Struthio camelus: one gene and its partners. The protein of the gene in region 4 binds, or shares a complex with, the protein of the main gene of each other region. Links are inferred from orthologs where the notes say so. Each region holds a gene or a part of one and is shown on either strand. Other genes may lie near its edges. The genes, in order: STRIP2, PDCD10, STRIP1 and STRN.

Evidence for each region.
Region 1: STRN (region 4) and STRIP2 share a complex: the UniProt entries of both Homo sapiens proteins name them as parts of the core of STRIPAK complex. The link is inferred for Struthio camelus from reciprocal best matches to the Homo sapiens genes STRN and STRIP2.
Region 2: STRN (region 4) and PDCD10 share a complex: the UniProt entries of both Homo sapiens proteins name them as parts of the core of STRIPAK complex. The link is inferred for Struthio camelus from reciprocal best matches to the Homo sapiens genes STRN and PDCD10.
Region 3: STRN (region 4) and STRIP1 share a complex: the UniProt entries of both Homo sapiens proteins name them as parts of the core of STRIPAK complex. The link is inferred for Struthio camelus from reciprocal best matches to the Homo sapiens genes STRN and STRIP1.

The regions. Positions count from the first base shown.
Region 1 is NC_090942.1:1,695,136-1,702,800, forward strand, and holds the start of STRIP2 (striatin-interacting protein 2), read left to right. Parts: upstream 1-4,652; 5' UTR 4,653-4,670; coding exon 4,671-4,775; intron 4,776-6,404; coding exon 6,405-6,474; intron 6,475-7,665. UniProt on the Homo sapiens protein: Plays a role in the regulation of cell morphology and cytoskeletal organization. Required in the control of cell shape. Calmodulin-binding scaffolding protein which is the center of the striatin-interacting phosphatase and kinase (STRIPAK) complexes.
Region 2 is NC_090950.1:28,962,573-28,970,021, forward strand, and holds the start of PDCD10 (programmed cell death protein 10), read left to right. Parts: upstream 1-4,439; 5' UTR 4,440-4,546; exon of another isoform or gene 4,547-4,715; intron 4,716-4,835; exon of another isoform or gene 4,836-5,016; intron 5,017-5,454; exon of another isoform or gene 5,455-5,548; intron 5,549-6,316; exon of another isoform or gene 6,317-6,432; intron 6,433-6,908; exon of another isoform or gene 6,909-6,949; intron 6,950-7,449. Other genes in the region: SERPINI1 (neuroserpin), read right to left, coding at 4,187-4,222. UniProt on the Homo sapiens protein: Promotes cell proliferation. Modulates apoptotic pathways. Increases mitogen-activated protein kinase activity and STK26 activity. Important for cell migration, and for normal structure and assembly of the Golgi complex.
Region 3 is NC_090965.1:4,309,875-4,316,850, reverse strand, and holds the start of STRIP1 (striatin-interacting protein 1), read right to left. Parts: upstream 3,001-6,976; 5' UTR 2,970-3,000; coding exon 2,919-2,969; intron 1,305-2,918; coding exon 1,235-1,304; intron 648-1,234; coding exon 573-647; intron 14-572; coding exon 1-13. Other genes in the region: AHCYL1 (S-adenosylhomocysteine hydrolase-like protein 1), read right to left, coding at 5,494-5,500, 5,718-5,838, 6,362-6,440. UniProt on the Homo sapiens protein: Plays a role in the regulation of cell morphology and cytoskeletal organization. Required in the cortical actin filament dynamics and cell shape. Part of the striatin-interacting phosphatase and kinase (STRIPAK) complexes.
Region 4 is NC_090944.1:102,274,147-102,281,541, forward strand, and holds the start of STRN (striatin), read right to left. Parts: upstream 3,014-7,395; 5' UTR 2,939-3,013; coding exon 2,639-2,938; intron 1-2,638. Other genes in the region: HEATR5B (HEAT repeat-containing protein 5B), read right to left, coding at 7,164-7,395. UniProt on the Homo sapiens protein: Calmodulin-binding scaffolding protein which is the center of the striatin-interacting phosphatase and kinase (STRIPAK) complexes.

The DNA of each region.
Region 1 (7,665 bases), on a different chromosome or scaffold from region 4:
AGTAAATCTCGCCGGCAATTGCCGGGGAAACCTCTCTTAATTCTGCTTGCTGCCCGAGGGACGGGTCTGCCAGCGAGCCAGCGCATTTTGCCTTAGCGCTGCTGAAAGCTGTAACGAAGGGTCCAGTCGTTAGCGAGGGAGATCCCCCAGCGCACGTTAGGAGCCGGTAGGGCAGAGACGTGCCCACGCCAAGGCCGTCCCCGAGCGACACCGCAGGGATGGCGGCGGAGGGCTGAGACCCGCCGACACCCCCTTCTTCAGCAGCTCCGCAGTATTTTCCTGCTGCTTATGTCGAGTGCCAACCTTGGATGAGTCAACCGAAGCTGTCTTCTTCACGGGGCTTTTGCGTGGCGTTTTGTGCCCACGCTCGAAGAGCGGCCTGGCCGCTTGGCTGACAGCGGCTGCTGCTGCTGGCGTTTCGAGGGGGCTCTCCGAAACGCGGCCCCGGCTCGCTGTCCGCGCGCGCCGCCGAAGGAGACAGCGGCGCTGACCACTTTCGAAGGCCAACGTTAACACGAGGTCTTTGCCGAGCTGAGTTTCAGTCCTCGTTGAATCAATGCCTCGTTCCGTAGAAAGACACCTGTGGTAACGGAAACATTTCCCAGCTTCTCACGGGAGCTCTTGGAGTTTTATTTTCTGGTAATACTTGTTTATAACCTAATCAAATCTGGAATTCCCCTTGGACTGTACAAGACGTACCCCCGAACGCTCACCACCCCTGGTTTGGGTGCAGCGATCAGGATCACAAGCAGAGTTCAGCATCGCCTCAATCATGTCAAGTCTTGATGGATTAAGTCAGAGCTGTCAGAGAACAGAGTTGTCGTAGTGACTTGTTTTAGCCCAAGATGTCCTGCCCGAACGCTGCAAACAGCATAGCACGCCTCTCGGGGGAACTTGTGAAGTCTCAGTGTCTCGTCAGAATCACTTCTACGGCTCACGCGGAGAACGTGGTCCTTCTTAAAAAGCGCCGGAGTAGTTTAGGTAGCTCTTAGCGCCCCTGTGCTGGAGACCTGAGCACGTGGACGTCACCTGTGGTCGCTGCGTCAGTACCCGAGTACTGTCGCCACGCGAGAGTCTTGTTTTGTCCTCTCCGACTCCTTTGGCATCATGAGAAGGGGAATTTTTTTGTGGCAGCTTGTTCACGCACAAGAAAGGACAAACTGTGGAGTTACGGCCTCCGCCACCGAGTCTTGATGACGAGATCTGAAGTCAGCTTGTCCAGAGTCCGCTTGTCTTCGGAGCAAGTTTTCTAGTGTGCTTTCTATTCCAATTTTCTCTTTGAAGAGTTTGCAACTTCTCAACTAGCTTAACTAGAAAAGTAAGGGATGCATCAGAGAGTGATCGTTAACCACAAGCTCTAAATAATCTTCACTCACTCGTGAATTTTATTCGGATCGTGAGATTTTTGGGAAGAGTCCACTGAACTATTGTAAACTTCAAGTTTGGACCTGTTTTCTCACCCTGGAATAGCCTAGTCTGCAACAGCCAACAAACCGAGTTTCTTTTGTTATTTGTAGGTTTGTGGTGTGAAATCCTGCTCTCGGTGAAGTCATTCACAGACATCCCCTTGGTCTCTCCGGAGCTGGGATTTCACGCGAAGGCTGTGCTGCCCGAGTGGGCTTTTCCCGTTCTGGGTGAAGCCCCGGGAACTTCTCCACCCATGTAGTTTCGAGGTCTCGGACGTGTTGACTGCACACGTGGAAGGGGTAAAGGGAGAGAGGAGGTTCGCAGCGGAGGTTTTCATCTGCGCGCCAGCCTCGTCAGAGCAGAGCCAGCAGCCGGGACCTGGGGAACGTGCCGCCTCGCGGGAGCACTGCCCTTTCCTGGAACGGGCTCGGAAAGAGAAACGCGTATCCGATACCTCAGCCCGCTCTTTATCCCTTGAGGTTGCCACCGGCCTGTGACCCTGCCTGTTGACCAAGCGCTTGGTCCTTCTGCTCTCTCTGTGCTGAGGCCGGCTCCGGTTATCCCTGTGCTTCCTGGGACCTCCCCAGCCTGGCCAGCGACGCCGGGTCCTGGTCCAGGAGCGAAGCCCAGCCGTTGCCCGCAGCAGCCCGCAAAGAAGGGGCGCCTGCACTAGGGACAGGCGCGTGAAGGACGCCCAGGGTCTGGTCCCGCTCCGAGACCTGCTCCGGTTCCTGCTGCAGCAGGGCCGGGTGGGATCCCGGCGGGGCGACGCTTCCCGTTCCCCTCGGGGGCGGCAGGACGGCGGCAGCCGACGGCCCGACGCAGGGCCGCCGGCAGCTTTCCCTCCGCTTTCCGTGCGATGAAGGCGGCGACGTCGGCCTGTCTTTGATGTCTCGAGTCAGATAGGGAACGCAGGTGCGGGGTCGCGCTGAGCGAGGCAGCCCTTGGCAAAGGGGCTCAGGGACGCAGCGGGATCTGCCCCAGGAAAAGCGCTATCCATCCGTGTGACCCTTCGCTACAGCTCAGACCAGTCGCTTCCCTCCCCTGTGTCTGTCGCTAGTGGAGCATATGGTGGTGCTGTCCTCATCCGTGAATTCGTTCGTGCCGATTTTTTAAGCCCACTTTATCCTCCGGGTAAATAGAAGGGGGGAAAAAAAAAATCGTCCCAAATCTCGATTTTTTTAAAGCTTTTCTCCATGTCGTTCCGCTTTTTCGCTTGCTTGGCTTTTCCTAATCAATCTGGAATCCTATTCTGTGATCATCTCTAAATTAAACGTGTAATGGCTTTTTCTTTCTTTCTTTTTTTTTTTTTTTAATGTAACACATTTTTAAAGAATTAGGAAAAGGAGGTTTAGGTAACACCAGCAAAAATTGTATAAGGAAAATAATTCTGTTCTGAACTTTAGCAACCGTAGGACAAAACCTGTCCAAAAAAAAAAAAAAAAAAAACCCTGCCATAAGGAAATTAAAACTTTGGAACCATAACATTTTCAAAAGGATGTTTTAACTATTAATGTATGAGTGATTGTATTAGATCAGCAATAAAGACTCTGTAATCTCAAAACGCAAATAAAACATCGGAAAGGCGAGTGTCTGCGGCGCGTGCTTGGCGGCGGGGGCCGAGGCCGGCGCTGCGGCCGCCGGCTTTGCCCAGAAGGGAGGCGCAACCTGCCCGGGTTTTTTAAAAAAAAAAGCGGGGGGGGGGGCAGAAACCTGCGGGGGCCCCTGGGCAAAAGCGGGCGGCTTTCCAGCGTCCTGGTGGCTCCTTCCGCCGCCCCCGGGGCCGGGGGCAAGCGGAGGCCGCTGGCTGGGGTTACGGGCAGCTGTTTCGCTCCTGCTCCTGCGCTGCCCTTGGTGAAACCGGGCTGAATCGTGGCTGGGAAAAGCTGTTGCTTTTGCTGCGACGGTCGCCAGCGCCACCCCGGCCTTTCCCCGCCGCCGGACGCATCCTGCCTCGGCGCTGCCGCCTTAGGGGATAAAGGCGAAGGCTGAGAGGCCCCCGGCGCCTCGGAGGGGGCTGGCGGCGCCCTGGCGGGGACAGCGACCGGGGCGCGCTGCCCAAAGGCGTCTCTGCCCCCCCCGGGACCCCCCCAGACCCGCGGTGCCCCGAACCCCCCCGTCTCTGCCCCCCCCGGGACCCCCCCAGACCCGCGGTGCCCCGAACCCCCCCCGTCTCTGCCCCCCCCGGGACCCCCCCAGACCCGCGGTGCCCCGAACCCCCCCCGTCTCTGCCCCCCCCGGGACCCCCCCAGACCCGGGGTGCCCCGAACCCCCCCCGTCTCTGCCCCCCCCCGGGACCCCCCCAGACCCGCGGTGCCCCGAACCCCCCCCCGTCTCTGCCCCCCCGGGACCCCCCCAGACCCGCGGTGCCCCGAACCCCCCACGTCTCTGCCCCCCCCGGAAACACCCCCCAGACCCGCGGTGCCCCGAACCCCCCCCGTCTCCGCCCCCCCCAACCCGCGGTGCCCCGAACCCCCCCCCGTCTCTGCCCCCCCCGGGACCCCCCCAGACCCGCGGTGCCCCGAACCCCCCCCGTCTCTGCCCCCCCCGGGACCCCCCCAGACCCGGGGTGCCCCGAACCCCCCCGTCTCTGCCCCCCCCCGGGACCCCCCCAGACCCGCGGTGCCCCGAACCCCCCCCGTCTCTGCCCCCCCCGGGACCCCCCCAGACCCGCGGTGCCCCGAACCCCCCCCGTCTCCGCCCCCCCCAACCCGCGGTGCCCCGAACCCCCCCCGTCTCTGCCCCCCCCCCCGGAAACACCCCCCCAGACCCGCGGTGCCCCGAAGCCCCCCCCGTCTCCCCCCCCCGGAAACACCCCCCCCAACCCGCGGTGCCCCGAACCTCCCCCCCGTCTCCCCCCACGTCTCCCCCCCCCCCAGACCCGGGATGCCCCTAACCCCCCCCGTCTCTGTCCCCCCCCGGAACCCCCCCCAACCCAGGGTGCCCTGAACCCCCCCGTCTCCCCCCCCAAACCCGCGGTGCCCCGAACCCCCCCCGTCTCCCCCCCCGTCTCCCCCCCCCAAACCCGCGGTGCCCCGAACCCCCCCCCTTGCAGCCCTGCACCCGAAGGACACCCCCCCACACACACACCCGTGTCCCCGCCCCCTCCGAGGCGCGGCCCAATGGCGGCGTGGGGGGTGTGTCCAGCGGCCCCGCCCCCGGGAGGCGGCGGACCAATGGGAGCGGCGGGGGCGGGCCGGGGGCGGGGCGCGGGGAGGCTCGGCCCCCCACGTGCTCGGCGGCGCTGCAGAGGGGCGCAGCGCATGGAGGCGGCGGGCGGCGGCGCGGCCCCGGCCCCGGCCCCGCGGCCCCCCCAGCCCCAGCCCAAGGGCCGGGAGCTCTTCAGGAGCCAGCGGAAGGAGTCCGAGGTAAGGGCGGGGGTGGCCGCTGCTGCGGGCGGGCGGCCCGTCTGGGGCGGGGGGGGCCGGGCAGGGGTAAGGGGGGGGGACAACGAGGAAGCCCGGACGGCGCTTGGGCCGGGCCGCCGTCGGGGCGCGGGGGAGCCCGGCGGGGCCGGTGCCCCCTTTCGCCCGCAGGTCCGCGGGTTTGGCTGGGTTTGGGGTAGAGGCGCGGGGAAGGTGGGTTTTCTGCCGGATCCTTTCCCTGACCCGTTTCCTCGCAGAGGAGCGGGCGCCGGCCCCGACGGGGCGGCAGGCGCAAATATCCCTTTTCGCAGCCGGGAGCGTCCGCGCCGCCTCGGGGAGGCTGTCGCCCGCCCGCAGCGCGGGAGCGGAGGCGTCGCGACGTGGTTCCCGCTGGGTGGTTTCTCCTCCCGCCGCTGCCCCGCTGCTGTGACAGCGGTGCCGTCGGGCGGGCGGCCGAGTCCAGCCTTCCCGCGCCGCGGAGGTGCGAGTTCCCGGCCTTCGGAGGGGTCTCCCCTGCCTACGGCGGGCTCGCGTCCGGCCCCATCCCGCGTGAGGAGCCGGCATCAGGGGCGAACACCGCGAGTGCTTCGAGCCTCGGTGCAAAGCGGCAATGCCAACAAAACGCGCTTTCCACCCTCCTCCGTCATGCTTTAGAGTAACTGTTTGCGTTTCGCCGCTGAGCGCTGGGGAGCCGGGCACGGCGGCTCCCGAAATCCCGGCTGCCTTGGTGCCGCGGGCAAGAAGCGGCTGCGCGCAGAGGGTGTAAAATGCCTCTGCGGCCACCTCAAAGCATCGGGGTTAAGGACAAACTGGGGGAAACGTTGAGTTTTCGGACGTCCCTGGTTTTAGGCTTGATCCGGAGGCGGAGGGGAGAGGGCTGAGCCCCTCCGGGCCGGAGCTGCGCGTCCCCAGCTGCCGTGACCGCTAGTAACGACCATTTGCGCCGGTCCAGCCTGGCTGCCGAAACGGGATTCGGGGGCTCCGAACGGCAAATTAACCTAATTTACCGCGTTATTCATTGGCGTGTTTCCTCCGGCCGCCCGCGGCGCGCTCGGCCCGTCTCCGCCCCGATCCAGCGGAAGAGCTTCGCGCTCCAGTTACTCGCTGGGAGCGCCGCGTTCCCACGGGGCCGGGGCGCGTTTGCGGCCAAAGGGATTTCCTTGCCTGTGGGCTGAAACGGAGCCGCGCGGACAAGCGAAGGGACGGGGTGACGCCACGGGCGGCGGGTGCAGAGGCGTCAAACCGTCCCGGGGAAACCCGCCCGGGGACGCTGCAAGCAGCAAACGGTCACCGGCCGTTTGGGTCCTGCCGCGGCTTTCCCACGCTGCTGATGTGGCTGCTTTTCATGTGTTCTTTCCCAATTCGCGCTGTATTTTGAACAGTCCGAGCGGGCCCTGGAGACCCGTGGTGGTAACGACCATCGTCTATGCATGAGCTCGACGTGGAGGGTGTGGGCTCCCCGCGGACCGCCCCGATCGCCCCCGACGGCCCGGGAGCGGTCGCGTGGCCCCCCGGGGCAGTGTCGTGCCTCTCCGAGCCACGGACACCCCGCAACAGCCTGCGGGATAGGCAGCGCCACGGCGTTTCGCCCCTCTCCCCGCCTCGGCCGCTAACCGAGGATGCTCTCCGCAGGGCTCGGTGGACTGCCCCAACCTGGAGTTTGGGTACGGAGACGCTGACGGCTTCGCCGTGGAGCTATCAGGTACAGAAAGGGGCCGCAGCGGAGGCCGGGGCGCTCGGCCGCGTCTCCGCGCTGCTCGGCTACGCCTGGGTGCCTGCCGGGGCAAGAAATCCCGTGCGGAAGAGGGCGAGCTGGACAGGAGATGGCTCTTGAGTAGGCTTAGGCCTACGTTGATAGGGCTGGTGTCCAAGAAGGGCAGAGGTCGGTTTTATTTTATATTTTTTTCCTGGCTTGATCTGCCCCCAGGCAGCGTTGGCGCCGTTTACCGCGCGGGCGGTCGAACGCTGGGGCAGGCTGCCCAGGCGGGTTGTGGAGCCTCCATCCTTGGAGGTACCTAAAGCCCGACTGGACGCGGTCCTGGGTCCTGTTCACAAAGGGGTTGGACTAGACGGTCTCGAGGTACCTTCCTACCGCGACTCAGTTTTGCACTTCTGTGACACCAAGTCGCAGCCTTGCCTAGAAACCTGCTGAACAAAAAAAAAGCATGTTGTCCTCTTCTCCAGCCAACTAAAGGCTACAATATTCTGGGGTCAAAAATGATCTGGGAAAAAATGAAGGCCATGCAGCTGGCTGGAGGAACAGCCACGTGCCGTGCTGGATAGCGCAGGTTGGCAAGCATCTCCCTTTCCACCCGGCACGCGCATCTACACTGCATCCCGGGAGCATCCGGCCCAAAGCCGCTTCTCCCTGAAACACTCAAACCCGTCGGCCTGAAATCAGGGCAGGTTTCGGCTGGCTGCTCCTGTGGTCCCTGCTGTTGCAAATTGACTTAATAGTGACCAAAAATCACTCCCCCCCCCCCCACACACAAAAACCCTACAAAAGCGTAGCAAATGCAGTGCAAATATCTGTGCTGGCAGCCAGGACCAGGGTGAGGTCCCCTTCCAGACCTGCCTGGAAGTGGTGAAAGGCCAGAAAAAGAAACGGAAGGGAAAAAGGGACGAGAAAATCAGCTAAAGCTGCAGCGAGTTTCAGAGCGATAGCACTAGAGCTTTTCCTTATAACTTAGCAAGAGCTATGGATCCTATTTTGATTTGAATTGATTTCAGTGCCATACAGATCAGGATATCTGTGTCCTCTCCGGGGCAGATGGTGTGAGCCGGGAGACCCGCGGGTCCTCTGCCTCCCTTCCCCCTCCGTGAAATCAGGATGAGAATTAAGCTGAGTTTAGTAGCAACCTCCGGATGCCGCCGTGTCTGGTGGACCTGGGGA
Region 2 (7,449 bases), on a different chromosome or scaffold from region 4:
ACACTGACCATAGGACAGAGGTACTTGATAATAATTCATATTCACTAGGTATTTTATAAAGACAGAATAATATATTGCCTACACAGAACATGGACTCTTAGAAATTACTTTAAAAGGTGTTCAACCATGTCAAAAGTACATCTTCATAGATGAAGAGCAACCACAGAGCAAACTTGAAATTGAGAAAAAACAAGAAAGTAATTTTCCAGCAACCTATCTAAAGAGCCAAGACTAGCTAGATTTTAGATCTTAATGTGAAAAATGCTACTAGCACTAACTGTTCTCCATTACGTTCTGCAAGACAACAATAGAAGTGGAATTAAGCTACATGTAAGCCCATGACATTTGTATCTATAGAATAAATTTAGAAAAAGGCTGCAATGCTTTAACATTCACTTTTTTAATAAGTCAGCTGACCAAAAAAAAACCAAAACCAAAATAAAAAACCCCAAAGCATGCTTAACAACTTAGCGCACTTCACAGCTCAGAGGTGTGTTAATCCCAGTCATTTCTGGAATCAATCTTTTCATGTGAGCCAGCAGTGTTGTAGCTAAAGCATTTAATAGCCCAGGCACACAAGACTGTGTAGATTAAAAAAGTAGGTAAGTAGCTGGGTGGTGACTTCAAGAATACTGATTTAAAATAAAACAAATAAACTAAACCATCTTGAACTGACTACAGAATGTGAAAACATAGGATGAAGAGACTGTGTGGTCAAGATAACTTTTGGAACTCATGTCTGCATTTAACATAACCTTAACACTGCCACAGACCTTCCCCTTGTGTTCTCCTAGCTGCTTCATGTAATTCCACAGACAAGTGTTAGATCTGTCTTAAACTAGAGGCCCTTAGAGTCAAAACATGTTGAGAACCTCTCCAAATTACAATTCAAAACCAGCCACAGAGGAAGTTTATCCAGTCCCTTGCTTACAGATTCATATACTTGCAATATGAGATTGCTCTGATTGAGCAAAAAACAGATTATAGTGCTCATCAGTTATGTAAGTAGGCCCTTTCCCCTGCAGATATTAAAACAATTGAAAATAAAGAATATAGATTCTATTTTACTCTTGATAATCATTCACCTAACTAGTCCTGAATAGCTTTCCATTCACAGACAGAACTCACTTATCACATGGCAAAGGTAAGATAACCCTTACGGTTTCTTTTTTTTCTCTTAAAAGGAAGATTTGGGTTGCCTTCTGCCTTCCTTACTTCTGTAAGACACATATGCTTGCTATACCTAACTACTCATTACTGAAAATACCCATATATTTGTTATCCAAATCTGATAACCAAAGGTAACATCAAACAAGGGAGATCTTTCTGGGCTTTTATCAGAGAAAAATGATTCAAAAGATTAAACAGCATCTTTCCATCATTACCCTTGCTGTACAGGGGGATTTGAGATCTCTAGTGCACACCCATGCATTTTACAATGCAGCAGAAATTTAAAGACTTCTTCTTGCTGTATCTTTTGATTTTAGGTTTCTTTTAATTCCAATTCTCTCTCTTCCCCCCATCCAACACCATTGAAACCAAACCAAGAAGAGGCAGAAAAAGAACCCACTCCTTCCTAAGCATAAGCAATTGTTTCAAACTTACTTGCTCTCCCCGCTAAGTCTTGAGAGCCCTACTTTCAGCTTTCCATCAAAACACGCAATTCATCTTTTACGCTTTGCCAACTTCAAATTCCCTTTTGGGAGGATATGAAGAAAATAACTTGGAAAAATGTGGTATTCTTAACTTCATCTTGTGTTATGCAAATATTTGTTAGCTACATGTCTTTCTCAAGTTCAGTTACACAGGTGATACTCAAACTACCTTGAATTTTTTTTTCATGAACATTTAGCTACGTAATTTTTTTTCTCCTGTTATTTTCCCCACATGGGTTAGAAAGAACAGAATGAAGAAAGCTGAGCCTTAGGTAAACTACACAGATTTTCAAATATCTAAAAAAGCTATACCCTAGACCATAGAAGTACCAATCTGTTGTGGGGTAAACGTATCTTAAAACTTGCATTATTAAGGTAAGGGATTATTTAATACAATATCTAACCCTAAAGGGGTTAGGTAAAAGGGTAAAACCTCCCTTAAAGAAAAAGGGTAACAACAACCATTCCTTCTCTCTCCCTCGCATCCTAGAGGGTAACTCCTCATCACACTCAAGCAAGCTTACAGCTACAACAGTTCTGAAAATCGTGAAGGAAATGAAAATAGTGAAGTATAAATCTGGTCTAAGACCTCCCTGCTTAAAAAAAATACAGAACTTAGGAAATATAGCTGATAGAGGGAGAGAGATAGTTTAGAATATTCTATTTTAGAAGCTTTGTGGCTTTATTTTAAAACACTGATTTCACAGAAAAGATAAAATGCCATAGACAAGCATAGACAGCATAAAATGCCATAGACAAGCATAAAATGCCATAGACAAGCATAAAATGCCATAGACAAGCATAAAATGCCATAGACAAGCATGTACCTCAATCTATAAGATGACATTTTGGTAAAGTTTCTCATCTAAGCAGGGTGGCATAGTTTTTCATCAAACTAAAGTACTGGTCCTTTCAAAACTGGTAAGATAAAAGACTTGGTGTATCAAAGATAAGAGGCAATTAATGAAACATTTCAAGCATATCATGCAAGTTACAGGACTGATCCTTTAACAGCCAGATATATTAAATATTTGACACACTGATCATACATAGATCTGATTACAACAAGAACTGGTGGGGAAAAGGGAAAAAATTTGTACACACAAGGAAGTGCAATAATCCAGGTGTCCTTCTAAGTGTTCTTGCTTACCTATGTGAAGCGTGTTTTGAATTGTTAACATATGTGGGTATATGTGCATGATATGTACGTTCAGAAAGACAGATGTCAGAAGTCTTCCCACTTTGCCATTTCACTGCTACTAGGAGTCACAGATAATGCTTCTTAAGTTTAATCAGTTGCATACTCATTCACCTGCTTGCATCAGAATTTGGGCCTTGTTAATATTAGGCCACGCTAGCCAGTAATTTAAAAAAAAAGTTTTTGTCCTGACGTATGCAAAATGCAGATACAAACCTAAAACTGAATTACACACTTCAACAATATTAAATTCATTTTAAATACAATTAAAAATTCAAGTCTAAAGCTTTTCAGTAACACAGCTGTTTCTAGCAAATAACGTGCAAGTTTATTTAAATTTCTTAATGGACAAAAAATGAAATACTCTGTATATGGCAGGTATATATACTATGTATATGTTTTATGAGCACTGAAATGCTTTACAATGTTGTTATAAGTAAAAGGGAGGATACCATAAGATAAAGCTGGAACTTCTGCTTTTAGACAAAAAGGATTATTCACAGTCACAAAGTTCATAACAAACAGAGTCATGGGTCAAACGGTCAGGGCACGCAAGCATTTTAACTGAGAAGGGAAAGAGTAGCTGCTGTAAATATCCGTATAAAAGTTTACCCAAAATCTTCATGCGTAATTGGACCTTCCTGGGGACTAGGAGATGGCCAGGTAATTCATTAAAATATATCTTCCAATCTTTTTCCCTGTGATTTCCGACGAAAGGAAAAACCCGTGCCTCAAAGGAGGGAAGCCCGTCAGGACAGGGCTTCAGAAGTACAGCTCTATTCGGGCAGCTACCAGAAGAGCCGCACAGACCTGTACTCTATCACCCCCTCCGGCACGAACGAGTTTTTAAGTACTGCTGCAGCACTTAACCACAGAATCACTGGGAGACAAAGCGCCCGTACCACAATAAAGACGCTGCGAAGGGGAGCTGAGCGTCTCCTCAGAGGCGCGGTTCTCGCCTCCGCCGAGGAGAGCGGACGCGCTCCCGGGCGCCACAGGCGGGTGCAGACGCGCACAACGGATGACTTAACAGCAGCAGGTTTTATATCTATTCCCCCGCCCCCCCCGCACCCCTTTCTCTAACTTCTCCTGCCGGCGGGGAAACACCTTCCTCCCTCACCGCCTCCGTCCCTGCCGCGGCGGGAGGGAAGGCGGCGCGCGATGCCTCCCCTCAGGCGCTAACGGACGGGCTCGCGCGGGGAGCGCCGCTCCCCGCGGCCGTTACCGCCACCGAGCGACGGCGGCGGAGAGCTTCCCACAACCTACGGGACGAAACCACGCTGAGGAAACCTCCCTCCCCAAGCGCTGGCAGGGAAGGGACGAGCACACTCACCGCCCCCGGTACTGCTGCTGCTGCCGCCACAGCCATCCAACCGACACGCCCCCGCCCGCTCACCTGCCAGCGCACCCGCCGCTCCGCCGCGGGCAGTGTCCGCCGCGCCTCGGACACCGCCTGGATATTCTTCCCTACCCCACCCCGCCCCGCCCCGCCCCGCAGAAGCTCCGCCCCCTCCTCCCGCCCCGCGCTCCGATTGGGCGCCCCCTCCAACCTACTCCTCCTCCAGGTCTCCGCCCCCCCCTCCCCTCCCCCCGGGCCGAGCGCCGTGTTGCATTGTGGGACGCGTGGTGGCTGGCGGCGGACTACAAATCCCAGGAGCCTGCGCGGCTGCTGGCTAGTTCCGGGCAACGCCTGGTGTGTGGTAACAGCAGCAGACTCTTCCTTCTCGCAGGCACTTCCGGCGCGGCGACGAAGCCCACTCAGGAGCGCTGGGGGCTCGGCGGGGCGGGGGGGGGGACGGTAAGGTGCCGGGTTGCTGTTGGCGCGTGCCCGCGGGGTCTCGCGCGCGCTGCGGGAGGGCCAGGTTTGGGGTCTGTGTGTGTGTGGGGGGGGGGTCGTTAGTGTGTTTGCGTAGGGCCTCGTTCTCCTTTCCAGGCTGCGCTCCGCTAGGAGCGTAAAACGCCTTCGAGCATTGGGGCCTGGCTGAGGGGCGCGGGGGGGGCGGCCGAGCGGCGGGGGCCGCCGGCAGCGCCGCCCTGAGGTGAGCGCGGGGCGGGCGGACGGGCGGGCCTCGCCGTGCGGCGCGGAGTGAGGGAGGCGCCCCCCCTCTCGTCCCTTCCCCTCGCCTCCCCGCCCGGCCGCGGGGGTCTGGCCCGGGCAGGCAGGTGACCGGTTTCCCCTTGGTCTGAGGCCTGGTGCAGGCTCCTACTTCTCGCCGCACTTCCCTCTCCCGCGGCCTTCCAGGGCCCTCCCGTGCTGCGGCGGGAGCCGGAGGGGGGGTGCCCGCCGCCAGCCCCCCCCCCCCCCCGGTCCGGCAGCCGTCTTCGGCAGGACGCCCGGGCCTGGCAGAGGCAGGCCCGGATGTGTATTTTTAGCTCGTCCTAACGCTTGCGAGGAGCATTGTCAGGTGGCTTGGCCCCGCTGCGGAGCGGGAGCGCTCCGGCGGTGCGGGCAGGGTTTCGCTAGGCGGGGGGGGGGGTGGGAGGAAAAGCGTTTCTCTTCCTCCTCCCCCCCCCCCCCAAAAAAAAAAAAACACTGTAAAAGGGGCAGCTCTGCGGCTGCCCTGCTCGAAGCCAAACGTGACCGTGCCCGGCAGCCCGGGCTCAGCTGGCCGGCAGCGCTGTGCGGGGCTGCTGCAACAACAGTCTGGAGGGACAGTGAACGCTGAAGGATCCCTCTAAACTGCTCATTTAACTGGTGACTTGGCTTGGTGCCCGCAGCTTACAGGTGTTGGGGGTGCGGGTAGATGGCTGAAACCTTGGGCCAGGTTTTGTGTTTTTGCTGTATCAGAGGAAGTAGTTGCCTTCTGTTATTCATTTACTTGTTGGAACATGTTTGTGTGTTTGAAAGTGGTTTTGGTTGTATCTAGTTTCTTGGAGTATTTGATAAAAGAGTAGAGACAGAAATATTATGTTTACCTTCAAGTTCCCAAAGGGGAGGTGGGGAAGAGCTTGAAAGAGAAGCTGACATACGTTGTTTCCATTATGTATCCTAAGAGTCGTGACCTGTGTCAGTTATAATATTTTTAATTTAGGTAACTAATGAAATTGGGGTGCAGTCCAGGAGGCTATTCTTGTTCCTCCTGTGGCAAGCACAAAAAGTAGATATGTTAGGAAAACTAAACCATTCTCACTTTGAAGTTCAGCATTGCAGAAGAATGTGAATTAATTGTAAGAGTGATTTCAGAATAAGTTTATATTAAGATTTTTTTTAAAGTTGATCTAGCAGTAGACTAGTTGGGTTTATTGTGAATTGCTTGTGTGACTTCTGAATCACTCATAAGAATCGCGGTAATATAATGCATAAGCAGTTAAACTTGAGTTCACTCTGACAAAGCATAAGTGGCTATAGTGTATTTCAGCGAGTGTTTGGAAACTGCAAATCTCTTCAGTAGAATGTGTTTTAAAGAGCCTTTTAAAACTTGAGTGCTATCTTTTGATGATACTCTTTCTGTTATCTTTTCAGGGAAACTACTGGATATACAAATTAGAATGTGGAACTATTGCAGCAGAGTGCCTTTTTAACTTTCATGTTTTTTCTACTGGTTTTTGGAATACAGAAGTTGTCATCCTAGTTGAACTGTATGTTAATTCCAGTGAATGGTCTGAAAGTGAATGTTGAAACTTAAATTTTGAAATCGCTTCTAATTTTTAAAATCAAGCCTATTGGGCATAATGTTTTGTGCTATTCAATCTCTCTTATATAATTCAGTATTTCTTGGTGTAATATCAGGTTTTTGTAGGTCCCAGACAATACTGGAAAACATACTTGCAACACTAAGCATTTCGGAGGAGGGAGGAGGAAAGATCACAGTGGCAGAAAAGTGAACAAAATGAACTTTAAAAACAGTGCAGAAATACTACACTGAGATTTTTTTCATGTGTTGCTACCACTTTCAGACAGCACAGTGGAGACGATTTGTAATGCTCAGACTTGGCTTTTCAGTCCTCATCCCTCTTCCTGCCCCCAATACACACGTTAACCTTTTTCTCCTTACTTGCCTCATTGCAAGGAAAAAATCTTCACGTTTTTTTCCTTTTTTCCTCCCTTTCTCCAGGTGGCTAGCGTGCTGCACAGGGAATGAAAGTAGAGCTAAAGGTGATGTTTTCTTCAGTGTAAGCCTTTGGTTTCTCTAGTGGTTGCAGTAACTAAAAGTAGAAACCCATGTTTGTCAGCTAGATTCAGCGGTGGGTTTTGGATTTTTTTTTTCCTGTTTGTTTTCAGAGAAGGTGAGGTATTTCTCCGCAATATGTAGAAATAGTTTTTCTTGCTTGCCATTCAGAAAGTTGAAGCCAAGGCCTTCAGAAAGTGAATGACAAGGAATTAACTTCCAAATATCTCAAGCCAGCCAGCCTTACCTTCTTAGTATTCTTATTTAGACAAAGCCTTGTTTGCTTGAAAGATCACCTACTTCAGTGTTTTCTGGCAGTCTTTTTGCAAATGCTTACTGCATCATAAAGTCACTTAAATTTTTGAAAGAAGAAAAGTAGTTCTATATCTTAAGTACAAAGCTTAAAATCTTTGTTCTGTGTGCTTTTAAGTTATACAATGGGAAATGATTACAATCTAATTGAAGTATAGTGCTAGCAGGCAAGTTA
Region 3 (6,976 bases), on a different chromosome or scaffold from region 4:
CTCTTGTCCCGCACTGAAAAGCCAAGGCAGCCAGGCTGAGGGCACGTACAGCCCCTCTATCTTTACTGGACATAAACATTACAAGAAAAACTCAAAGCATGCACAACGAGGGAAAGTAGGACTGCCCCACTGAACAAGGTGCTCATGAGAGGCTGCAAATAAGGTATGTGCAGTCTGGGCAGAGGGACGTCTCCTGCCTTCCATCACACAACTAGATAAATCACACCCATCCGAACTGGCTTTAGCAGCACTCAGACATCAGCGACACCCAGCAGCTGATAGAAAACGAGCTGGCTGCTCTTGCTGCTGCCTGGATTTTCCAGCACAGCCACTGTAGCATTAATGAACCATCTAGGACATTAATACAAGCGACTGCTGAACAAGCCAGATGCAGCAAGCTGCGTTCCAGGGCCCAGCCAACGCACATCAACCAAGTCTCAAATACAAACCACGTGAAGACCGTCAGTGCCTGGATCCTGCTTTCTGATGCAGTAGTAATGCATCTATCCTGGCACATCTCCTCCAGGAGATTCCTGCCCAAAGTGGGGAGAAGTACAAGAGAAGGTTCTCACCATGGATCCTAAAGTCTTCCTCAAAGCACTTGCGATTGAGCTGGAACTCAGGCCCTTCAGTGTAGCTATACAGCTCTGCCAAGGAAGCACGGAGAAATCAGTCAGGTTTCTCCCAACATGCTCTCAGGGAGCTATGTGCAGACACCAGCCAGGACACAGCAGGGAAACCACAGGGCAGAGCCTGGGCAGCCAACCTTGGCTACCCAGGCACGGCTAACTGCTACTAAACACTAAAACAGTCGTTTCTACCTTTTCTTTTTTTGATTTATGTGCTTTCACTGCTAGACGATTTCTAGGCAGTGTTTCACACCAGAGTAATGCAGCTGCAGCGTCCGTCAAGCTTGAGATTAGCCTTTTCAAAGAAAAGATGCCGTTTCAAGAACCTGAAGAAAGGTCTCTTTCTCCAACAACCTGCAACCAAGCTGTCAGAGAAAGCAGCAGCCCGGCCAAGTTAACTGCCATTGTAACCAAGATGAGAGAAATGCAAAACGCAAACCCAGGATACGGCAAAGAATTAATTACATGACATCACATCCCTTTTAACATAAAGGAGGCGTTTAAAGACATCAACAAAGTCATAGTGGCATTGACAGAGTTCCTTTAATTGCTACCAAGAAAGAAATCATGACTGATTCATCGATCCATCAGGACAATTCCCTTACCAGAGAGCTCTGCTGCCCATTTATCGGTATCTGCATATTCAAACTCCAGATCTGGGGACTCCGAATAACCCTAAAAGTAAAATGAAAATTCAGTTAAATTAAAGAATTTTTCAGGAAAGCAAGAATCCCTAAGACATTCACAATGCACCTCACCCTGCTGCAAGTCCAGGACTGTATTTTCAGTTTAAGAGATCCAAAATTTACCAGCGGCAGCTTAAACGTTACCAAGGCAACCCCTAAACCACCTCCTGCATCTCGATTCGTGCCTTCTCCCTAGCCTTGCTGTTGGTAGCCAACAGCCGCATTCAGCCAGGCTGTGTTTCTGCCACTGCACCACCTGTAAAACACCTCAGGACTCCAAAGGAAAAGGCCAAAACATAAACCAGGAGACGGGGCACGTTTAATCTCGGGAGGGGAGCAGGTCAGATGGAAATGGGGCGCTCTCAAAGCTCGCCTGTTTTCTACAGACACGGGCCAGCACGAAAATCTGGGCTACCACCCCAGTACGGAGCCAGCTGGCAAGGGAGAAATGCCAAGAGAATTTGAATAGTGAGGGAAGCAACCTCAGGCAGCTTTAGTGAGGTTGGGAAAACACTGAGCCAGGAGCAAGAAGCAGTTGCCTCACAGGAACAAAACATCTGTTTCCGTTAAGCAAGTCATCAGCACGGACCCACAGTGCAACTCTCGTGCTTCTTGCGGCATCTGCTCCCGCGCGAGGGGCGGATTCAACCGGCAGCTCGCTCACTTGCCAGCGGGGTCGCAGGTGACGGGCTGAGTCACCCTGCAAGGGCTGGAAGCGACTCGGGAGCCTCGGGGAGACCTGGTGGCCCTATCCTGATGCACGGCGCCCCGGCGCTGGCAGGCCTCCCGCGCCGCCGGGGAAAGCGGCCACCACCGCTGAGCTGCACCCAGGCACGAGCGCTTTCGGGGGACAGCGCCCACGCACGAGGACCCAGGCGCTGGCAGGCCAGGGACCAACGGACCGCGGGAGGGGGGGAAAGGGTATCAGAGCAGCCTCTCCGCCGCAGCGGGCCAAGTCGCAAAGGCAGCGCCAGCGCCCCTGGAAGGGGACGCGCCGTCCGGACCTGGCGTCAAGCGGTTGGAGCCTCCCTGGGAAAGGAACCAGGTCGGAGGGTTTTATAAGAAAATAAAAGTCGCCATCCCGGGCTGGCAGGGCCGAGAGGGGGAAAAACCAGAACCAGCTCTAGCCGGGTGCGAGCCCCGCAGGGCCCCTAAGGCCCGAGGGTCGCCGCGGCGCCACCTGCCTCCAGGGGCACCCCCGGCCCGGGGGGAGCCGCCTCACGAGGAGCCGGCGCCCCGCCGAGCGGCGCCGTCCTCGTCCCCCCGCCGAGCTCGGGAGGAGCCGCCGCCGCCCCCCAACCGGCTCCGCTCGGGCGCGGCCCAGGCCGCCCAGCCCCACACGCCGCGGCCCGGGGCTCGCCGGGACCGGGCCGCGGCGCTGACCTCGGAGTCCTTGCGCGGGGGGCGGCCCAGGTCGCGGGCCTTGCCCGGCGCCGCCGCCGCCGCCGCCCCGCCGCGGGCCTTGTTGTTGCCGGGGAGCGGCGGCGGCGGCCCCGCGCCCGGCCCCCCCCCACCGCCGCCGCCGCCACCACCGCCGCCGCCGCCCGGCTCCATGTCCGCCGCCCTCGGCCGCGCGCCGCGCCGAGCTCTCGCGAGGACTCACCCCCCCTTCTCGCGGGAGCGGCAGGGAGAGCCGGGGCAGGGCCGCCGCCATGTTGGGAGTGGCGCCGGGCTCCTCCCGGCCGCGTCACGGCGCCGCGCGTCACGGCGGAGCCCCGCCCTCCGCCCGGCCCCAAGCGCCGAGCCCCGCCCCTCCCCGGTAGCCATGTTAGGTGTGGCACATAGGTGACCGCGGCCATGCTGGGAGTGGCACTTCCTCCCTGCCGCAGCCCAGGGAGGCGTCGCCCGACGCGTTGAGGCCGCCATGTTGGGAGTGGCAGGAAGGGGAAGAGCTGCGGACCTGGAGCAAGGAGGAAGAGGCTCCATTGGGGGGGGTTGGAGGGGACCCGATCCCAAAACGAGGGGCCTGGGAGACAGCAGAGGGGCCTCGACAGGGGGAAACCCCAGATCAAGGGCCATGGGGGGCTCAGACCCCAAATAAAGGGGCTCAAACCGCAATAGAGGGAGTGGGGTGAGGGAATTAAACCCCAAATCAAGAGGCCTGGGAGGGCTCAGAGGGGCTCAAACCCCAAACTGAGGGGCCTGGAGGTGCTGGGGGGGCTCAAATGTGACCCAGTACCCCACTGAAACTGCCCCGCTGGCTCGCTCTTTCCAAAGAAGATGCGCACAGCACGAGAGAATTGTTTTCCTAATAGTTTAATTAGACTTTAATGATTTATTGCTCATCTGCAAGGATTAATATTGCATTCATTAAAAATCATTCATATACAAAATAAACCTCTCCCTCCCAGCCCGCCGCCGCCGATCCCAGCTGCCCTGGGCGACATGGCTTACGCGTGGCCAGGGCCGCCGAGGGGGCACGTGGCCGCCGGGCTGGGGGGCAGCCGGCGGGCCGAGCCCCCCGCGGAGGCCGAGGGGGGCCGCCCGGACCCGCGAGGTTAGCGCTCCCCGAAACGGGGCGCAGGGGAGACGGAGCGGCCCGGCACCAGCCCAGGGCGAGAGACAGCAGGGAGGAAGAAGTCAAAGGAGAAGGACGGGGAGGGGAGGACAGAGGGAGATCGAAGCCACGAACAACCCTCGCTTACATCTTTCTCCAGTCCCGGCCAAGAGAAAAAGGGAGTTTTGGGCTCCGGCGGGGAACCAGCGTGGCCACCGAGCAAGCGCAGCCCAGGGCGGCACCAGGAGGGGCCCCGAGGGCCGGGCTCACCGCGCCACGGCATCTCAAACATCTCGGTACCGGGAGACGCCGGCAGGGCACGCGGCGGGGGAACGAGCCCCCTCGGACAAGCAAAACGCCGGAGCCGGGGGGTCTCCGTGCTGCGGGGGGGGGGGAGCAGAGAGCCATGGAGCGAGGGGGAGAGGAAAAGGAAAGAGAAACCTCACTGGGTTGCAAGGACTTTCCCCCCCACCCCGGCCCCCCGGGACAAGCTGAAAGAGATGGAAAAAGAGAAACGGCCGTCACCAGCGAGACCTGCGGAAGGGACGAAAGAGGCGACAGGAGCAGCGGAAAGGCGCCGCGGGGCAGCGGCGAGGCTGGCCGAGAAAGCCCAGCTCGAGGCCCGGGGCGGCGCAGGGGAGCCAAGCGCTTGGCGCAACGGTCCGCGGACCCGGCTGGGGCACGGCGAGCTGCGCCATTACCCAGGCGGGTTACGGCGCCAACGGGGCCAAGGGGACAGCGCGGGGAAAAGGCTCATCTCTGCGTCCGTCTCAAAAGCAAAGCGAACCTCCCCCCCCTCAAAAAAAAAAAAAAACCCTCAAAAAGCACCTCCGCGCTTCCAGGTGGGAGAGGCAGCTCCCCAACTGGGGGCATCACCTCACCATCTCCATTGCTTCCCCTGCTTTAAAACATCTCTAAGAAAGAAAAAAGAGGGGGGGGGGGAAACGAAACGTTTCTAACTCAATTAAGGTGCAGTTTGACTAAAAAAAAAAAAACAAACTTAGGAGAGATGAGGATAATGCTGGGTAAGCGACCCCCGTCCGAATTCAGATTAGCACCCTGGACCCTACCCAGCCAGACACCCAACTCAGGTCACCGGCCCTCTCTGTGCCAGGCCCCTGGCTGAGCTGGGGACAGTCACCTATTCGCGAGGTGGCCAGCAGGTGCCACTCTGCTCCCAAGCAGCTTTAGGAGCATTGATCTAGCAGCTAAAACTGGGCTCTTTAAGGCAATTTAGAAGTTGCAGATAATCCACACAAAGAAAGAAACTAAGATAAGGTAGAACAGCATCTCCGTATCTGCAGGTATCCCAACTGAGACTAATGCGGGCTGGAAAGGTCAAAAAATAATAATAACAACAACAACTGCAGGAATGAATCGCCCTTCACATGCCAGGAACGGAAACCTCTTTCTGGGAGCGAGGGCTGAGAGCCACCGGTGGCTTCAGCCACATCAAAGCAGGAAGCGAATCCCAGGCTGTCTGCCAAGATCAGACAGAGATGTGATCACGTGAAAAGGTGAAGCAGAGGAAAAAATGTGGCCTTAAAATCACACTGATAAAAGAAACATAAAAACAGGTTTCTTTGTTGGTTAAAAAAAAATAAACTAAAATAAAATGATCTTTAAAAATAATCTCTCTAATGTTGCCTTGTGTGGTCTGGTCCTTCATGGATATGGTCCATCAGTATCTGGAAGAGAAGTGGGGGGACAGTGAGGGTGCTTGGGGACAGAGCCGGCACGTCCCCAGCAGCCCAGCTGCGATTTGCAAAGGGGTCACTCAGCCCCCGGGAACCGAGGCTGCCCCAATGCACGAGATGTCCCCAACAGCCAGCAGCACCCGCTGGGTGAGGAGCCACCAGCCTCCGCAGCTCCTTGCCCTGACAGCACTGCCAACCCGGCACTGACCTATAGTAGTTGGGTTTGAAAGGCCCGTTTTTGTTGAGTCCCAGGTATTTTGCTTGATCGTCCGTCAGTTCTGTCAGGTGGGCGTCAAACGAAGGCAGGTGCAAGCTGGCGACGTATTCGTCTGGAAGGAGGAGAGGTAAGTGGGGATCAGGAGGGCGCAAGTTCCCCCCTGCCCTGGCGCTGGGGAAGCCGAGGCGTGGACTCGCCACGTGGCCAGGGCACCCCACTGCAAATGCACACAAAGACAGGGAACTAAAATAGGGTCCAGCTAGGCAGTCCCTGCCGTTTAGCATCATGGATTCACTGTGACATAACCCTAAAACAGAGCTAAGCCTACACCACAGCACTGAGAAGGGCTGGATATACACCGAAAGGCACAAAGGTTGCATGTAAACTATCTAACCAGGAAATTTTCAGGAGAAGGGCTACCTGTCAAGATGCAGCCATTAAGGAAAACAGATTGAACAACCAGCAAGTGTTTCAAGGATGCTGGTTTCCTTGAACCCATCCTCTGGAAGTTTTGTCCAGCCCAGATTTGAATTTTTCCTTACATCCAAAATTGTTGGCCCCACAGCAGCCCAGGGAGGACAAGTCAGTCCCGAAACCCAGTTCTGGCTGCCGAGCAGATAGCTTCCTTCACTCACCCATCTTCTTCGGCAGCAAGTAGACGTCTTGCTTGTAACGGCCCTCGGGAGCGTTGTAAAGCTCAATCAGAGCCAGAGCCTGCAGAGATCACAGGGGACAGCTCATGGACAGCCACCAGCCAGGGGAGCACTGAGCACCCGCAACAGCTCACGGCAGTGGAGATAAGGAGGAAAGGCAATGCTAAGGGTTTGCGAGTCTGAGGGAAGGGGCAACATTTCCAAAATCTCCTGAAGGAAACATTTTTATCTAAGGTACATCCTTCTCTGGATCTCCATGATCCGACTGCTGCTGGGAGAGGACCAGAAGGATTGAAAATGAGACATCACCCAGCCTGTTTGCAGCATCTGGGCTTAGCGCTTGGAGTAAAACCAGAACATGAGAATGGAAGAAAGGGAGCGGCTCTAATTCTCCTACACCGTAAGGCTGCCGCGTCATGTGGAAAGGAAGAGATTGTTCATTTTAAGCTAACAGCCTTGCTCTAAAAACCACGGCCACTCCTTCCGCAGAAGTAAAATTGCATCGCCCCCCAAGTGCCAGGCCCAAAACACCACCTCGTTCCCATCTCTTTGAATGGGCAAGTACGGGGAAAAGCAAATTCCCTCCATTAGCCTCCT
Region 4 (7,395 bases):
ATATAATAGAGGCAAGAATAATTAACAAAGATTCAAGAAAAATAATCAGAAAATCAGAACAAACACGGATATTTGCCAAGGAAAGCAAAATATAGGCACTCGATAGGAGGTATCAAGTTATTGAAAAAACAGCAGTAAACCAATAAGCAAGAACAGAAAGCAAGCTGTCTGACACATCAGCTTACATACTGTTTGAAACTCGAGGAAAAGGTGTCACCTGCATAAGCATCACATAATGCAAAAGAAAGGTATTCCTCAATATCACATTTAATTTCACGCAACTAACTACAAAAAAAAAAAAAAAAGGAGAGAGGGAGGGAGGGAGGGAGGGAAGGGGGGAGAGAGACAGATAAACAAGAGAAGCCTGAAGGGGGGAAAAAAGGAAGCTAGGTAATCACTGTGGAATTGATTTTCAAGGTGTTTCTCAGTAAGAGCATAGCTCAACCAACCAATGACTACAGAGCAGAAGCCAAACATGGTAACCCTGTGGCATACAACATCTAAAGTATTAAAATACCATAGTAGGTAGGAAAGTGAGGATAAAAGGACTACCTCTAAGAAACAAGATGAATGAGAGATAAACTTTATGGGATACTAAGAACACCATACACAATAGAATCTCTGCCACACAATCTCCCAAGAGAGTAGATAATTTAACATTTAAATTTAGATTGGGTGGAAGACTAATAAAGTACAATCAGGAGCATTGTATCTTTATCTCAAGAGAGAGAAACTGCATGACCTCAGATTTCCATTATTCAGTTAAACACTTCCAAATATATAGGCCAACAAAAGGCTTCAGGAGTGTGGAATCTGTTTTTAATTAATACTGCTCATCATTCAGTTATGCATACGCAATTTCCAAACGCCATCCTAGTAGTGCCGTTGAACCCCTAACACAAACCTCCCACATGAATCAAAGAACGTTCAATTGTAAATGGTCACAGTAGACATAACATCTATAGCCGATGCCTATAGAGACAGCCAAGAATTCTGCACCTTTCTGAACATGACTCTGCAGCAGATAAATGCTGTTACAGCTTATGGTAATGCCAATCACAGCTAATTACAACTTTATTGAGATGTTCCGGCAGAAGCCAAAGGAGTTCAAGCAAATGACTTGTAATTGGGTTATATTCCCAGTCTGCCACTGACAATACACAGCTCCGGCAAATGGTTTAAACCTGCCTCCTATTTCATCCATAATACTTTCAAAGCTTCTGAAGGGTACTAGGAGCATGGGAGGCCCCTGTTGAGAGGCATTATAAATATGCATCGTGCTTTTGCTATTCAAGCACTGGCAGAATTTCTCAGATCCCGTAAAACAGGTTTTTTCTCCAAAGCAGTTTGAGACATCTGTATCAGCTATGAAAAACTATCAAGATGCTTACTTATCAGACTCCAGCAGATACGTGACAGCTGATGTTCCAAATACACATACTAAATTAGTAACCTTCTACATAGTATTCATTATACTGACTAGAAACCTGATTCAGTTACTAACAGATTCTTCACTGAATCATTCAGGTTACCATAAGTACTGCATCTCCCTCTTGCCCTCATGACCACTTCCTTGAAGTTCCAACAAGAGATCCCCCAACGAAGGCTGTCACGTCTACCATTCTTCTCACAGCGATTTTGTTTACTTTACTACAAAAAGCACTATTAAAAAGGCAACTCTCCCACTAACTAAAAAAAGAGAGGAGTGGTTTGCATTGCTATACAGGCGAAAGACAGTGTTGACAAAGACAGGACTTTCAAGGAAAGAAATAGAAAGAAAAGGGACGGACAGGAAGTAGAAGACAAAGAAGGGAGAGCTAAAAAGGAAGCTGAGCAGACACTTTTCAGCTCAAACACGGGCCACTGAGAAGCAAACAGCGGGCTACTGGTGGTGCGGACAGAGTTCAGATTTGTAACAGAGACTTTCTTGTCAACGAAGCTAAAGAATAACAACAACAAAGGTTGTATTCTCCGCTGTTATTAGAGTTAATACAGCGCACTCATCACTGAAGTATCTGACAGCGGTGGCTCTAGGCCAGCACTTCACGAGTTGTTTAACCACAAGATCACTATTAAAGCCTTTAACGTACTAACGAGCACAACCGCCCGGTGGCTTTTTACCCCCCCCCCCCCCCCCGCGACGTGCCCGGCCGCGCTGGTTTTGAACAGCGGGTTACGAAACAGGTGGCCGGTGCCCCAGCTGGGGGGGCGGGGGGGGGAGGAGGAGGAAGAGGAGGGGACCACGAGCCGCCCCACAAAGGAAGGGGGATTTATGGGCGCGCTCTGCCCAGCAGCCCCCTCGGGCGGCAGGGGAAGGCCCGCAACCCCGCGGCCTCCCGCCCCGCCGCCGCCGGCAGACCGCTCAGCCGTGTGGGGGCCCCAGCAGCTCGACCCTCGCCGCCGGCGCAGGCCGCGGGGGGGCCCAGACCAGCCCCACAGGCGCCCCGCGCAGCCCGGCAGCGGCCGCCGCCGCCATGTCGCGCCCCTCCGCGCGGGGCGGCCCGGCTCGGCCCGGCCCGGTGCAGGCAGGGGCCGCGTTGGGCCCGGCGGGGAGGAGGGGTGGGGGTCGCTCCCGGTGGGGGGGAGGCGAGGCGCAGCCGCGGGGTTTGGGGCAGGGGGAGGAGGTCGCGGGTGTTACCTGCAGCTCCGCCCGCTCCGCCTCCCACTCGGCGCGCTCCGCCTCGAAGCGGCCCCACTCGTGCTGCAGGAAATGCAGGATGCCCGGCACGCTGTATTGAGCCCGGGACGCCGACACCGGCGCGGCGGCCCCGGCCCCGGTGGGAGGCACCCCGCCGCCGCCTCCCGCCGCCGCCGCTGCTGCCGCCGCCGCCGCCTCGCCGGGCTCCAGCCCCGGCCCGCCGGTCGGCGGCGGCAGGAGCAGCGCGTTGTTGTTGTTGTTGTTGCTGAAGAAAACGCCGGGCCCCGCTTGCTCGTCCATGGCCGGGCCGGGTCGGGTCGGGTCCGCCTCGCTCCCCGCCGCCGCCGCCCGCACCCAGCCGCGTCCCGGCAGCAGCAGCAGCAACAACCTGGGCGCGTCCCGCCCGCCGTCACCGCCTGACAGCCGCCCCCGCCGGCTGCTACCGGGGCCCGGCGGGGACAATTCCAGAGAGCGATTCGCTCCGGCCCGGCCCGCAGCATTCTGGGAAGTGTAGTTCCGCCGGGCGGCGGGGCGCTCTGCGAAGCGGAGCGGGGGGGAAACGTCCTTTTCCTCCTCCGCGCTGCCCTCATTTCGAGGAATGACCTTATAGGAAGGGAGTCCCATCCCCCTGAAGCGTCAGAGAGCAGTAAGCCTCGAACGGAGCGGGTGGAAATCCCCCCCCCCCCCCGCGCGGCCTGATCCCAACAGCAAAGGGCGCGGAGCCCTGAGGCCCCCGCGCCCCCCGGCCGGCTCCCCTCGGCCCCTGCCCTGCAAGGCCGCTGCAGGGAGAGGGACGGAGGGCTGCGAGGAGCAGGGAGGGCGCAAGGCCCTCCTCCACGGACTAACGAGCAGCTCCCTCGCCAAGGAGGATTTCAAGGGCTTTGGCATACTAGCGGCCCAGCCCGGGGGTGTAAAGGACAGGCATCTGGCGCGCCCCCGCTCAGTCCGCAGCGCGGTGATGCCTTGGCGCAGCAGCGCCACAAAAGTTCTGCCAAATCCTGCAATTTCAACTCCTGTCTTTGATCCTTCCTTTTTTTGGCTATGTTCTAGAGAATTGCTCTGTCCAAAATACTGAAAACTATAAATCCATCCCAGGACTACAGTGATTTCTTGAAAACCTTAAGATTAATGAAAAAGAGGACAAGAACATTTTTGGGGGAATTACTACACTGCCTTAACTGAGAGGAAAGAGAAAAAACAAACTTCTGAAACCAGTAGCAAAGCCCTGGGTTAAGGGGGGGGGGAGGGGGAGGAAGTCTGCAAGGAAAAGTGAGCATCCTTCATGACTGCAGCTGTCAGAGGCACTGCTCTCTCACACCTCTCCCAAGGATGCAAGAAGATTCAGAGTCAAGCTTGCTTTCCATGCCACATAGATACTAACACAAGAGGCTTGCTAAAGAGAGACAAAATGCAACACTACCAAAAAGGCTTTACTGCTGGGTTAAGCACTAGCAACCACTCTGTCTTCTCCACTTGAACATAAATGTGTGTAAAAGATCAAACGAGGCCACTGAGAATGCTGCATGTAATAGGATCACTGACTACAGAGCCACGATGTACCCAGACACGCTCATGTGATAGCAGTGCGTGAGGTGCTGAGAAAGAGCCCCAGCACCCTTCGCTGCACCCTGCACGCCCAGGAGTGCTTCTCTGCTTACTCAAGCAGCACTTCCTCTTTCTAGCTGCTCTGAAATCATACTTGCCCGCTTCTTAACCTGGCCCTCCAAAATAACAATTGTGTCTTGAGGATGATCCCTTTGCATTTTTAGGCAGAAGAAAAGAAAAATAATTAATGAAGCCTAGGGAAAGAAAAAAAAAAAATCAAGAGACTAGAAGTCATCACAGAAAGCACAGAACAGGGAATGCAGTCTGGGGGAAACTTAGTAGAGAAGCAGGGTAGAACAACAAGGCTCATTAAGAAAGGAAGGAAATAGTGGAGAGAGAAGAGGAAAGACTTCAAGGGGAAATAGAGAATTAGCTTCATGAAAAAAACAGACTAAAAAGCCCATCAACAAAGAAAAACATTAAAAGGAAGGGGACAAAAGAGAAGGAAGAACAAAAAGCACTACAGGCATTTCACTTTTTTTTTTTTTTTTTTTTTAAATCAAATGAAGTTTTATGCCAAAATATTATGCAAAACCACACAGTTATATTTTTAGTATCCAGAGCAACAAAAGCAAATGCAGGCTAGAAACCTGAGACGCCTGAATGCAAATGAAAGTTGAGCACTTTGTATACTGTGTGACAGTACACAAAAAAAGAAAACCTCTCTCCACTACCCCTCTACATCTATCTAGCCCTGTTTTCCCTTCCACTAACATTTTTACTACGTTTCTACAGGCTTCTTAGTTATGCTTGATTGGTATATTTACTCCCTTTCTCCCTCCCTCCACCCCCCACCACTAAATTTTCAGCCATCTTGTAAACTAGAGTCAAACCAGAACATGATAGTGCTGGGACACAAAATTAAGGTAAATAAAGCTGAAGTCATAGACATAGACAAAAAGTCTACAACAAACATTCAAGAGTTACCAATTACTAGACTACTTAGGGAAAAAACATCTAAGAAAAGTTATGAGGTTATTTTTTCCATTTTAATTTGCAAAAATCTTTGTGGTCAACTTTATATCTAGAAAGAGTTCCCCTGATACTTCAACTGCACTTTCTCTCAAACATTAAACAGGTTTGGAACTGCTCAGCAAAACAGGTTGGTAATGTTTTTTTTGAAACAGTTATTAGCAACTAATACATTTTAATCAATTCCCACTACAGAGAAGAAAAGTGAATATTGAAATTGCTTTCCTTCTTGCGTACCGCATACTATTTTTGCTGCTGCATGTATCTTTAGTCCAGTAGGACAGTGGAACAAGACTAGAGAGTTAAGATTCGCATGTTTATGAAAACTATTTGAGAGATTAGAGTTTCCACCAGTGTTGACCTCATGTTAGTACTAGAAGATTTGCTGTGAAATAAAAGCTTTTCTTTGCATAAGTACCCAAAGGGCAATATAAAGCTCTTGTGGGAAACGAGACTTAGAGGCAAGTGACTACACAAAAATGATCATCGACAAATATTTCGGCCAATTCTAATTACTATCTGTTTGCTGTATTTGGGTTGAAGTAGAAACTTCTGAAGCATACAGAGTTTTTACAGAACCCTGCTATACACGTAGCAGAAAAACATCAGAGATGAAACTTAACTGTACCATACAGTCCTATCCTAGGCTTCTAGTTACATGGCCTGTCACTATAAAACAAAGATGCATAAAAAGATCCCTGTGGCAGTCTAGAAATTTGACAACAGTGTCCAAAAAAATCTCTGTATATTAGGTCTTGTATACACAAGAAAATACATGGTTCTATACTTCTGCCAACAGGAAGGGTGAGGTCTGGCAGAAGACAGACATGACCAAATGGGAGCCACTGGCTCTGTGTTGTAAGGTTAACACAGCACTTGAGCTCTCGCTTAAGCTCCAAAATCCCCAAATCAACCAAACTCACTCACATGTGAGGAGAGCCAAGTGCTTTTCCAGAAAGAAAATCTTGGCAATGGAAGAAAGAATTGGAGTTACCTGGCTCACACTTGTGTTCTGCTTCTCTATTTTCAGTAAGGATGCAAAGGAGTCAAGTCATTTGGTTCTGCAAACTTTATCAAGGACTGGAGATTAGAGAAAGCCAATGAGACTAAAAATTGCAGGAAAAAGCAAATATCTGGGAATCCAGGCAAAGAGAACCACCATATTTAACTAGCGTCTGGCAGAACAGAAAGACTGCTAACCCATGGCAACTATAGCTACTGAAATGCAGATAGCAGGCAGTCCCCTTCACAACCTCAATTTCCAATGTGCTTTTTAAAAATTTATCTTAGAAGAGATAGGGAATAAGATTCTTTGAACCCTTTATTAATGTTCAAGCATGGAAATGGACCTGAAAGAAAGAGATACACCACATAAATAAGGACATTTCACTATAAGAACATGCTTGAAAAAGACTAAAAACTTTCAATTCTTTTTTTTTTTTTTTTTTCATGCAAGCTGAAGTGATCTACTAGGTATGACAAGCCCTTACCCTAGTTTGTTTTTAAAGGGAAAAAGTGCATACTTCTACACTTGAAATTCCCCGTGATATACAGTAAGTACTGCATAACAGGTTCTCCTCCCTCCACTGTGTTAGCCTGTTGGCACAGTGGTAGGATAACATTTGCTAGATTTCAAAAACCACTCAAAAAGGTTCAGGGTAGCTTTAAAAAAATAAATAAAACAATTTAGTAAGATAGAGAATACTTTTTGGTGGTGGATATTTATAACACAAATTCATAAATATGATCACATTCAATTTCTTAAAAATCTATACAAATACTAGCAACACCACTTCCCTTGTAATGCATGGATTTCAAATAATTACACAAGCTCCATTAGATAGCCTTTCACATACAAATTACACAAAATTACAGACATATGCAGTAACACATCAGGAATAATGTAATGCTTCTGACTATTTAATGGTCCAAAAATAATACAAGTAATTCAAAAAAAGCTAGTTTTAAGTTTAATTGTTGGGGTGGAATGTACTGTGGGTGGTGGTTGCCTAGCAGCTGCTTTTGCTTTGCTGGCCTGACTTGCTCGGACTGCAGTTTCCAGACGTGTTTTTAATTCGGGAGCAGCTCCCATTACTGTCTTGAAAGCATGTGGGTAAAGTGGACCAATGTGCATTAGATTCTGAAGTGCAAACTCATGAAGATCCTTAGATGCCGTAGAT